Linked DNA regions of Callithrix jacchus. The protein of the gene in region 1 interacts with the protein of each later gene in a biochemical or structural test. Links are inferred from orthologs where the notes say so. Each region holds a gene or a part of one and is shown on either strand. Other genes may lie near its edges.

Evidence for each region. The genes of interacting proteins can lie anywhere in the genome.
Region 2: of the proteins of PTPN6 (region 1) and ROS1, one has a biochemical effect on the other in vitro, tested with the Homo sapiens proteins (2 studies listed by BioGRID and IntAct). The link is inferred for Callithrix jacchus from reciprocal best matches to the Homo sapiens genes PTPN6 and ROS1.
Region 3: the proteins of PTPN6 (region 1) and LCP2 form a complex in vitro, tested with the Homo sapiens proteins (2 studies listed by BioGRID). The link is inferred for Callithrix jacchus from reciprocal best matches to the Homo sapiens genes PTPN6 and LCP2.

Annotation. Positions count from the first base shown.
Region 1 is NC_133510.1:21,210,897-21,214,974, forward strand, and holds the start of PTPN6 (tyrosine-protein phosphatase non-receptor type 6), read left to right. Parts: upstream 1-1,278; 5' UTR 1,279-1,438; coding exon 1,439-1,452; intron 1,453-4,078. Other genes in the region: C9H12orf57 (protein C10), read left to right, coding at 230-381. UniProt on the Homo sapiens protein: Tyrosine phosphatase enzyme that plays important roles in controlling immune signaling pathways and fundamental physiological processes such as hematopoiesis.
Region 2 is NC_133505.1:123,720,113-123,724,219, reverse strand, and holds the start of ROS1 (proto-oncogene tyrosine-protein kinase ROS), read left to right. Parts: upstream 1-1,307; 5' UTR 1,308-1,930; coding exon 1,931-2,053; intron 2,054-4,107. UniProt on the Homo sapiens protein: Receptor tyrosine kinase (RTK) that plays a role in epithelial cell differentiation and regionalization of the proximal epididymal epithelium. NELL2 is an endogenous ligand for ROS1.
Region 3 is NC_133503.1:62,542,421-62,546,532, reverse strand, and holds the start of LCP2 (lymphocyte cytosolic protein 2), read left to right. Parts: upstream 1-1,312; 5' UTR 1,313-1,485; coding exon 1,486-1,563; intron 1,564-4,112. UniProt on the Homo sapiens protein: Adapter protein primarily involved in signaling pathways within T-cells, as well as other immune cells such as platelets, mast cells, and natural killer (NK) cells.

The DNA.
Region 1 (4,078 bases):
AGAAGCGCACTGCTTTGGGACATCTTCATTCATGCACCCCATCCAGTTGTGCCCAACGTAGAATAAGAAGTTGATCCAAACTGCATGGGGCAGAGTCCTGCATGTGCTGTTCTGCCAACAGCTGCCCTGCCAGTGGGGGAACAGCTCAAGCTCAGACTACCACCCCCTCCACCTGTCTTAGGCACGCTGGTCCTTAGGAGAAGCATTGACCCTCCACTCCCTCTTGCAGGTGTCCTCAAGTTTGCCCGCTTGGTCAAATCCTACGAAGCCCAGGATCCCGAGATTGCCAGCCTGTCAGGCAAGCTGAAGGCACTGTTCCTGCCACCCATGACGCTGCCACCTCATGGACCTGCTGCTGGTGGCAGCGTGGCTGCTTCCTGAGAGTTAGCCCTCCCTTGTGCCACTAACAGGGGAGGAAAGGCCTTGATGTTCCAGTCAATAATAAATGTGTCTGCGACTTAGCCTTCTTGTCAGTTTTCTTGTCACTCTGCCACCCAGGCTGGAGTGCAATGGCGTGATCTCAGCTCACTGCAACCTCCGCCTCCCAGGTTCAAGTGATTCTCCTGCCTCAGCCTCCTGAGTAGCTGGGACTACAGGCGCATACCACCGCGTCCAGCTAATTTTTGTATTTTTAGTAGGGACGGGGTGTCAACATCTTGGCCAGGCTGGTCTCGAACTCCTGACCTTGTGATCCACCCACCTTGGGTTACAGGTGTGAGCCACCGTGCCCCGTGTCAGTCTTTGTGGACCTGACAACCTCCCTCTCTCCTCCCCAGATTCTCTCTTCCTTTCCAGGCCGCATCCTCCTGAATAGCTCTTTCCTATACTCCTGGCTGGGCCTAACCCTGCTCCAGTGAGGGCTGAGGCTCCTCCCCTTTCCCCAGGGCAGGGTAAGAGGTTGGACTGGGCTCCTCAGCGCCCTGGGTGGGTGGGCGTGCACAGGGCGCACCTCCTTCTCTGAGGAATTGGGCTGTTAGGGCTTTTCCTTAGGCCCTTTGGTTTGCGCCTACTGAGAGATTTCCCCCATTGGTTGCTCTTCCCTCAGCCAGGGTTACTTCCTGGTCTTTGCCCCTACCCAACCTCCCGCCGCTCTGTCAGCTTGAGCTCCAGGTGGAGCTCCAGGTGGCTCCTCCTCTCCCGAGGGAAGGCAGCCCTGGACCGGCGGGAGGGCCTGCTGGACTCCCGCACTGGGGCTGCAGGGAAGCTGGCTGCTGTGGGCGGTCTCAGGCCAGCCCCGCCCCACCTGTCCTTTTCCTGGAGACTATTAGTCCAGGGTTTGTCCCTGCGGGGCCATTGGCCTGGCAGGCTGGATTGAGGAGGAAGTGACTGATTTCTGAGAGGTTCGTCCTCACCTGGCTTGGGCCACGGTGCACAGCTGTGCCACTGGCTCAGCCCCGCCCCCTGAGGCCCTCTGCCGTGACTTCATCCCTCCAGAGAGATGCTGTCCCGTGGGTAAGTTCGTGCACCACCTGGGTCCCAGTCTCCTGTTAGTTTTGGAGGGAGGGAGGCCTTGTTCATGCTCACTGCAACATGTGTGTGAGCCTGAGTGCGATCTGCCGCTGCCCTGCCCTGCGCCTGCTTCCTGTCCCTATGAACCTTCCCTTCCCGCAAGGTGTGAGGACCCCCGGGCTCATTCATGCCCCTCTGGCCCCTCTTTAACATTTTCCCCTGACAAGTGTATATCTCTTCTCTCCATTGCATTTCTACCTCCAGCCTCTGGGCTCCTGCTTCTGCCTCCTGCTTGGGACCTGTCCCTTGGGTAGTTCACATCACCTCAAACATAGCAGCAGTTAGAGGCCACCCGTGAAGGCCTCTCCTGCCCAGCCAACTTCCCTGCTCTTCCCATTATCTGACTTTGGTCCCATCTTCTTTCCGGTTCCTTTCACTTCCCTTTCCCTTGCATCATTCATTCATCAGATACGTGCTGAGCATCTATTGCACACAGGGTGCTGTTTAAGATGCTGGTAATACTGGAGTGAACAAGACAGACATGGTCCCTGCTTTCACGGAGCTTATGTTCCCATGGGAGGTCACAGACTGAACAAACAACCCAATAAATTGGATCATTGCAGATTCTCAAAAGTGTTATGCAGAAAATGAAACAGCCTCGGCTGGGCATGGTGGTCCACACCTGTGATCCCAGCACTTTGGGAGGCTGAAGCGAGAGGATTGCTTGAGCCCAGGAATTTGAGACCAGCCTGGCCAATATAGTGAGACCCTGTCTATACAAAAAATAAGCTGGGTATGGTGGCACACATCTGTGGTTCCAGCTATGGAGAGGCTGAGGTGTGAGGCTTGAGCCCAGGAGGTCAAGGCCACAGGGAGTGGTGATTGCACCACTGCACACCAGCCTGGGCAACAGAGTGAGACCCTGTCTCGAAAAAAGAAAATGAACCAGCTTCATGTGCTAGCAAGTGACTGGGTGTGCAGGTGACATTACTAGCTGGAGGGATCAGGGAGGGCTTCCTGAGGAGGTGACATTTGAGCTGAGACCTGGATGAGGAGGAAGAGGAGTTAGGCGTGGTGGAGAAAGAAAGAAAGAGAGAGAGGGAGGGAGAAAGGAAGGAAGGAAACAGAGAAAAAGAAGGAAGGAAGAAGATAAAAAAGAAAAGAATGATGTGGTGATCAAGAGTCAAGCATCCTTAGGCCGGGTGTGGTGGCTCACGCCTGTAATCCAAGCACTTTGGAGGCCAGGGCAAGCGGATCACCTGAGGTCGGGAGTTCAAGACCAGCCTGACCAACATGGTGAAACCCCGTCTTTATTAAAAAAAAAAAAGAGTCAAGCATCCCTGGGCAGAGGAGATGGAGCGCACAAAGCTCTAACGTGGGAACAAACAAAAAAAGGACAGTCTGCCTGTGATGCAGTGACAGAGGACCCTAGAGGAGCGGAGGCAGGGCCAGGGCAGGTTAGACTCTGTTGGACCTGGGATGGTGAAAGTGAAAACCTGGCCGGCCGAGGTAGCACACACATGTGATCCCAATTTGGGAGGCTGAGGTGGGAGGATCGTTGGAGCTCAGGAGTTTGAAACCAGCCTGGGCAACATAGCAGTTTGGGAGGTGGGAGGATCACTTGAGCTCAGGAGTTTAAGAGCACTCTGGGAAGCACAGGGAGACCTCATTACTACTGCTACTACTAATAATAAATAGCTGGGCATGGTGGCACACACCTGTGGTCTCAGCTCCTTGGGAGGGTGAGGCAGGAGGATCACCGGAGCCCAGGAGGTCAAGGCTGAAGTGAGCTGTGATTGTGACACTGCACTCCAGCCTGGATGACAGAGCAAAATTCTGTCTCAAAAAAAGAGAGAGAGAATGGAGAGAAAGGAAAAAGAAAGGAAAAAAGAAGAAAGAAAGAAAAAGAAAGAAAAGAAAAGAAGGAAGGAAGAAGGGAAGAAAGGAAGGGAGGGAGGGAGGGGCCAGGCGCAGTGGCTCAAGCCTGTAATTCCAGCACTTTGGGAGGCCGAGGCAGGTGGATCACTAGGTCAAGAGATCGAGACCATCCTGGTCAACATGGTGAAACCCCGTCTCTACTAAAAATACAAAAAATTAGCTGGGCGTGGTGGCACGTGCCTGTAGTCCCAGCTACTCTGGAGGCTGAGGCAGGAGAATTGCTTGAACCAGGGAGGCAGAGGTTTTGGTGAGCCAAGATTGCACCACTGCACTCCAGCCTGGTGACAGAGCGAGACTGTCTCAAAAGAAAAAAAAGAAAAAGAAAAAGTGACAACCTGCTTACAGAGTACTGGCGAGTTTGTGGGTGTGTGGCTCCCCAGCCCTACTGATTCTTGCTTCTCACACTCATCTCTGCTCCTGCCCCAGTGCTCACCTCATCACTGTCTGCCCCACCGACGGGGTTCCTACTGAGTCTTCTAGTCCTGAATCCCTTCCACGGCCATTTTCCTCCCAGGTAGCTTGGCCAGGCCTCCCCTTGTGCAGATTCCATCCTCAGTTTCTCAGCCTGGCCTTGAATGACCCTCTGCAGCAGGGTCCCAACCTCTCAGAGCAACTTTGCTCCAGCCACATAGCTCTGCTCACAGCCAGGCACTGCGCACATGAACTCTGTGCATGCCACCTCTTTGCCTTG
Region 2 (4,107 bases), on another chromosome or scaffold:
ATAATAGTTTAATACGTATAGTCAAAACTGTACATATTGAAATGACTTAGGGTGTACTTGGATTGTTAGCACCTCAGTGGATAAGTGCTTGAGGGAATGGACACCCAATTCTTGATGTGCTCACTTCACATTGCATCCCTGTTGCAAAACATCTGTACCCCATAAATCTATACACCTACTACGTACCCACAAAAATAAAAAAAAAAATCCAATGATAAATATGTTCAGCTCAAAACAAAATCTCAGGTATGTGTTACTCATAATGAGAACCTTATATTATTAAGAAAAGGTTAAGTTACATTTAGTACAATTTATTTAAGAAAAGAAGGAAGCTGGCCAGGCGCAATGGTTCATACCTGTAATTCCAGCACTTTGGGAGGCCGAGGTGGGCAGATCACGAGGTCAAGAGATCGAGATCATCCTGGCCAACATGGTGAAATCCCGTCTCTACTAAAAATACAAAAATTAGTTGTGGTGGTGCCCGCCTGTAGTCCCAGCTACTCGGGAGGCTGAGGCAAGAGAACTGCTTGAACCCAGGAGGCAGAGGTTGCAGTGAGCCAAGATTGCGGCACTGCACTCCAGCCTGGCGACAGAGTGTGACTCAGACTCAAAAAAACAAAACAAAACAAAACAAAAGAGAAAAATGAAAAGACAACAAGGAAGTTTATTTGACACCTTAGCTTACCATGTAGAAGGCATCACTACAAAAATATCTGGCTTTTAAGACTTATTAACAATCTAAAAAGTAGCTATTGAGAATGATTCTCTTCCATATTTTGTAGATTTCAAATTCTTTGTTCTAGGCTTCAGCTTAACTTTATCTTCATGCGTGACTAATTGAAATTCTGTACAATATGGCCTAGTGCAGTGGCTCACACCTGTAATCCCAGCACTTTGGGAGGCCAAGGTGGAGGGATCAGCCTGACCAACATGGAGAAAACCCGTCTCTACTACATATACAAAATTAGCTGGGCGTGGTTGGAAGCGCCTGTAATCACAGCTACTTGGGAGGCAGAGGCAGGAGACTCGCTGGAACTTAGAGGCGGAGGTTGCAGTGAGCCGGGATGGCACCATTGAACTCTAGCCTGGACGACAGAGTGAGACTCGGTCTCAAACAAACAAAAAAAAAAAAACAAAAAAAAAAAACCGGTATAATGTTTCCTTCTCAAGGCAGACACTTGTGCATATCTTAGGTTTCTGGTAACTAGCTTCAGCTGTTTCAATAGACCTGATAAGGCAGTATTTTAGTTAATATGTACTGAAGTTCTGAGAGTGCTCTAACGAACTTCCTTGATTTTTTTTAACTCACTCCCAGGTTATTTGTCTATTAATTTCAGCTTTGTTTGCTTTTAAATTAAAAAACATGTATTTGGCTTCAGAGTTCTGTTTTCCCTCTCAGTTGCGTTGCTTGAGTTGGGTGCTTTTATTTTTTCAATAATTCATTATTATAATAATGCTACTGTTTGCTAAGGCATACGTGGTCAAAACCTAATTCCTGCAGAGCTGAAAGGAACTCAGAGAAGTAAGGTGGAGGACGTGGTGGATGACCCACTGAAATTGAAATGAAACTGAAATGTTCCAGTTTCAGGCTACGCATGTTTCACACCCTTGCTGAAATACAATTTGCGTTTCTTTAATTTCCATGTGAAATGCTCTTCTAAAAACTAACTTTTAGTCAGTGGGTGACTTTCTTTATGGGAGTAAAAGAAAGCTGTTATGAAACAGCTGTTTTGGAACTGTTACAAGCTTTCAAGGATTCAAAGGTCTAAATATTATTTCAAAAATCTAACATATTCTAATATAGCAAAGCAAGCAAAAGAAAATCCATCAACTACTCCTTCAATTGAAGTGATGAAGCCCAAATAATTCATACGGCAAAATGGAGAAAATTAGAAGACTGGCCATCTAAAAATCCGCCATTGGTGAAGTGATGAAGAACATTTACTGGCTTATTCTGCAACTTGCCAATTTTGCAACTCTTGGCTGCCTATGGATTTCTATGGTGGAGTGTACAGTTTTAAATAGCTGCCTAAAATTGTGTGTAACTAATCTGGTAAGTCTCACAATCTAATATTTGTCTTTGCAGGAACTGGAGCATGTAGAATTCAGCTTGTTATAACTGGTAGAATCGTTTTTTCTTTAGGAGGAGTTTTCTTATGAGAAGTGGTGGCAGCAAGGCAAGATAGATTATTTTTTCTTAAGTAAGTTAGGAGCATTTATACTTCAGAAGATAAAGCAGGCTATTTTATTTCTTTAGGGTACCTGGTCATCTTTTGGGGGGCTAAAGGATTGGGTAAAGGAAGTTTAAATGGAGTCAATTTTGCACATTAAAAAAAATCAATTTAAACTCACTTATTACAAAGTCACTAATAGTTATCTTGAAACATAAAATAAGTTTAGCCACAGGATAATGCCTGCTAATTCCAGCATAACAGTAATAATTACATCAGAGATGGATAATGTATAGGGAGCTGGATGACCAGGAAGCAGATACAGATGCCATGTAAAATAATATAATATTTTAAAGCAATAAATATGTGCACATTCCTTTTTTTCTCTGTATGCATTTATAATTTTATCTTAGTGAGTTTTTTTACATGGAAATTTATGCTTTCATTCTCATTTCTGGTTATCATACCTTCTATAAATATTGTATCATCTCTTTTTATTTGTAATTTAGTTTTAAACATAATACTAGTACTAAATATAGTATTCATTATATTATGCTGAAGTGTTGGAGATAGAATTCTGTGACAGATTAAAAAAGAAACTTGTGCTTAAACACTTTTGATTTAGTTTAAACTGTAGTTTAAAACATTACTTAGGCTTACTATGGTTAATAGCATTTTTTGAAAAGTTTAGTATTTTATATAAATCTTTGCCAATGATTTCATTTCCTTTAATATAGAATTGCATGCTTTAGTTTTTTATATTTGTAACCCAAACTTAAAAATGGAAGAATGGAACTAATAAATGTTTTAAAAAGATTTTAATTATAAGAATATACATTTTAAATAAAATATTTATAAGATATAGAACTAGAGAAGAATAAAAAACCTTTATAATTATGCCCCTAGTAAACTTTTGATTGAATTTTCTTTTAGTATTTTTCCTCATATATATATGTGTACATATATGTTTATAATTTACACACAGCTATGCATCCAGCTTTTTCATTACATTATATTGAGTTTTCCCCTAGATCCTGAAAGGTTTTCAGAAACAGAATCTTTAATATCTTTAGATTATTCCATTATATGACTAAACCACCACAATTTATTTATTTCCCCACTACTGAAACTGATTTTAGTTGTTTCCAGTATTGCAGTCTCCATTTTATTTTATTGTAGCTTCATTTATTCTTATCTTTTTGTGTGGGCTCCTTGCTTTCAGGATTTGGCAGTAGGAATAGACACTTTGTTCCTTTGTTGAGTTGCCTTCCGTTCACCACCTACAGAGAAAAGCACAGCTGATATGCGGCAACAGCAAGAGAGACACCGTCTGCCAATTTGACCAGTGAAAGTACAGCATGTTCCCACACAGGGCTTGGAGGGACAAAAGTGAAGTGAATAAACAATTGAATGTAGCCATTGTTCACAGGAGAGGATATACAAAGTGCTCAAATTTATTATATTTTCTGTGTCATTTTTAAAAACATGGACATTTACTCTGAAGGTCATCTATAATTTTACTGGTTGATTCTTGATATTGAGGCATGTTTCCTTAAAAAAGAAAAACACAAAAATGTCTCATCCAAAAAAAAAATGTTAGAACTGTGGACCAAAATGCACAAAGCACAGTTCTATGCTTGAGCATGGGTATTTTACATTAATTTTAGCTTACATTAACAGAGATCTGCATGTATTAGTTAAAAGAATTAAATCAAAAGGTTTTTTTTTTAATTCTAGATGCTATGTACTGCAGAAAGCAACAAATAATTAATGCTCTTCAGAACACTAGTATTGTGAGATCCTTTATGAAAAAGAAAAAAGAATTCATGGTTGAATAATTTATAGAAGTGTATTTTGCTATGCCCTCTTTTTGTAAATCCACATGGCGCAATAGCATATTAAAGGCTTTGTTTAATCATGATTTCCCCATCTTCTT
Region 3 (4,112 bases), on another chromosome or scaffold:
CAGCGGGGCTATGCTTTATACACCGTGATCAGCTACTGCAGGCTCTTAGCTGTGAAGCCCTGCAAGGAGCACATGGCCTGGGCCACCTTGACAGATGGCCTCAGTGCCTTCTAAGGTGAGGCCAACACTAGTTTATGTTGATAAGCCCCTTTCTAGGTGCTGGGTTTGAAGCAAAATGTGTATTTCATTTAAGCTGTCACCCAGCTTATGAGGCAGATGCATCACAGTGATGACAGGGCTCCTGGGAGTGTGTATAAGATGGAAAATGTGCACGGCCAAAGCTATGCTTGAAGACTCTCAGGAAGGCACCACCTCAAGGACCAACATAGCATCACTTTGTGTGTGTGTGTGTGTGTGTGTGTGTGTGTGTGTGTAGCATTAGATGGAGAAGTAATTTGTGTTTAGAGGCTGACATATTGCACAAATATAGTTGCTTTTATACACTGGACTCACCCTCTGCCAATGAGTTGTTCAGTTATGAGAAATGAACAATGTCTGAAACTAAGAAAACAGCAGATTCTCACCTCCTATCTCCAGGGAATGTGCTCTTTGGCTAGAATATATGGCAGAATCAATAGTGAATAAAATACATTGTGGAAATAATTGTGAATGGAATATACGACACTATCAATAGCAATTGTTGAGTTTTTTTCTTTTTTTCTTTTTACGTTTGTCTAGTTAAATGCATCTAAGTTTTACGTGTGTATGAAGAATCACTCTGTTTTCCTATTCTACAGATATGGAAACTGAGATCCCTAGTTTTTAAGTCCTTGTCTAAGGTTGCATAGCACAGAAATAGTCACATCAGAAACTGAGCCTTGTCTGCACGGTGCAGCACTTTGCTCAGCTCTGGGTACCTGACTCACTCACTCCTTGAGGACCCTCTCATGACGACTGTAAACAGGCAGCTGAAAGAATCCCAATCTTTGATGGTGGGAGGGGAAGGTGTTTAGAAAGCATGAGAAGGCCATGCTCCAGCAGTTCACTGATGTGGGAAATTGTCTGGATTTCAGGTCAACTGTCAGGATAGATTTTGGACTGCAAAGGCCCAGCTGAGCAAGAATGCAGTGTAGACATGAGTGCCTGGAGCATTAAAGGAAAAATACTCGGACTCACATTGGAGTTTAAAACCCCTTCACTGCCTCTCCAGCTCGGTTGGGGTGAATGGAGCCAGTGGCTCTCTCTGCATCTCAAGCCTCCAGAGCTGAGCTTCCTTGTTTACTTATTTAGAGCCCAGCAGAGGAAGTGGTAAAGGAAACTAGCTGAGTCGTTTTCTGAGAAGAGACCATATTTGTTCGCAGAGGAAGCCGTTGCTTTCTGGGATCTGGCTACAGCAGAAAAGACATCAGCTCCAACAGGGGTGTTCCACAGGGTAGCTGAGAGTTGGAAGAGCCAAGAACGCCTCTGAGCACTGGATTTGAGCTTCTCTGTGCATGGGTGCAGCGCACATGCTCAGCTTGTGAGCTTCCTCCCGGGAGAGCAGCCATGGCACTGAGGAATGTGCCCTTTCGCTCAGAGGTCCTAAGCTGGGACCCTAACAGCCTTGCTGACTATTTCAAGAAGGTGAGCCTTGCTCTTGTGTGAGTGGTCATGCTGGTAGTGCCATTGGTGGGCTGAACTGAGGCTAGAAGATGGATTTGGAGCAGAATGTGGGAGGTGTATAAGATAGCAATGGCACTAACCGTATGGCAACCTTACTGGGTGAGTGAGTGCCATACAGACCGCTGAGTTTTTCTGGCAATGCGTTCTGGAGAGAAAGGTGGGCACAGGAGCCCTCAAATGAGTATGTGCCTATTATATGCTAGGGTTTGAATTCAGTGCTTCACAGGCACTGTCCCATTTAACACTCCTTACTATCTTGTGAGGTCAGTGTTGTTATCCTCTTGGTTCAGCTGCAAAATCAGCTCAGGGAAGTGAAATGGTCCAAAGCCCTAGGGACTACAGGTTATAGAGGCAAGATCCAAGTCATACCTTTCTGGTTTTAAAGTCCATTCTCTGAGACACAGAGGACTGTTGTAACTGCTAATGAGATCAAGGCTACTTACTAGAAAGAAGAGACGTGGTGTCCTGGAGGCAGGAGAAAGAACAAGCTGGGTGCAAGGGCTGGAGAGAGGACTATGATGAGCAGTGCCAGACATGGCATTTGGGCTTTCACTACTCACGACCCTGGGGGGGGTCCTCAGGCTCTCGTCTGGGGCAGAGTCTCCTTGGAGCTTTTTGAGAACCTTATGAAGCAGGCCAGAAAACTGATATGAGCCCCAATTTACAGCTATGAAAACTGAGGCCCCTAGAGGGGAAGAGGCTTGTGGCAGTGCTGGGAGCAGAGTGTTGCTGTCTTATCTTCTGGACTTGGAGGAAAGGTTGAAGGATCCCTGTGCTTGGTCATTGGCAGGTGGGGACCACACATCTGCTTAGGCAGATCTGAGGCCACATGACTTACTTAGGGTCCATCTACCCTGACCATGGGGCAAGATGCCCTGTGAGAGACATTTGAGCTTCTAACACCCCCATCCTTACAGGCCGGCATCAGATTCTGTTGATATTCCAGACTGTCACAAAGATGAGATTATAAAACTAAGGGTGTAGAAGTCATCTAATTCAACTTCCTGTTTTTCCTGGGGAAATTGAGATTCAAGGGCACATATAGCCAAACCTGGGCTCTGCACAGTTCCATGGTATTTATAGTCGCAGCTGTTCTCCTCCACCCTAAAGAAGAAAATGTGCGCATGTTGAACTAGGTGCAGCATGGTAGTGGCACAGCTCACAGATCCTGTTTTTGGCCATATTTTGTGCTTTTTGTTTCTGTTATTTTCATTCTGCAAGGTCATAATAAACTTAGGTTTCAGCAAACATCGTTGCAAAACTGGTTTTTGAAGGATGTTTCTAAATACCTTTCTCAAATATAGACCAAATAAGACAAGGCAACAAGGTATAATTTGTTAAGAGGGAATAAAGTGGCATGCTACCTCAGTAAAGGAGAAAGAAAGGAATTGAGAATTATGAAGAGAAGGACTTGGGGCAGGCTGAAAGGCACAGACAGGCCAAACTTTCAAGTGTGACCAGGAGAATTATACAATCCAGCTGAACAACGGAGAATTGATGCCTAAATTCCCGTCAGTACAGGGAGATGGTCCATTGGTCAGGAATGGTACAGGAAGATCTCTCTGGGGGAAGCGAGAGTTTTCTTCCTGGAGATCTCAGACCCCAGGACAAATCTACAGCACCCAGGCAGTTTCCTTCTTCTGGCATAAATGAACTGAGGGAAGAAACTATGAGACTGAGGCAAATCTGTGATCCTGGAAGGCCTAGTCCCTCCACAGACTTAGATAGAGCCCTTTCAGATTCTAAGAACCTCAACCCCCTGAAAGAAAATGCCAAATTAATGGACCGCAGAGTCATACGGGAATGGATCTTAGACATCAAACATGACATGTAAAGGATTGATCTGCAGATGCAAATTCTACCCAAGTAGTGGGGTCAGGCCTCCCTTGGAGACACCTCCCGACTCAGCTCTGGAGTCGGACACACCTTGGCCTGGCTCTGCAACCTGCTAGCTTGGTGACTTTCTTGTAGTTCTTTGCCTCTCTGTGCCTCAACTTCCTCATCAGTGAGATAGAGACATGAACAGTAACAACACAATGGGACGGTTGTCAGGATTAAAGGAAATGGTGTGTGCAGGGCACTCAGAAGACAGATTGGTACTAATGCATGTTCCATCTGCCCTTTTTCCTTCTCCATTCTGGCTCCTAGCTGGGGACACCCACGCAGACTGGTGGGACTTTGTGTCTTCTTGTCTCTGACATGTGTAACACATCCTGTGTCTGGAATATAAGCTCCTGAGGACTGAGACTATGTTGTATATTTGTTCAATCTCTCCAATTCCTTTTGACTTGTAGGAGAGCATTCTTGAGTCATGCAGTGGAGAGGCGCTGACTCAGAGCTGTGTGTCCTAAACCCAAATGGGATCCCAGCTGGTATCCCAGCTCTCTGTGTGAACTTAGACCAGTCTCTTTCCCTCTACAGGCCTCTGCCTTCCTAACTACAAATTCAGGTGACTTTTCTGAACAAGTGTCTGCCAAAGCTGGATGCCATAGGCTAATTATCTAGGGTGC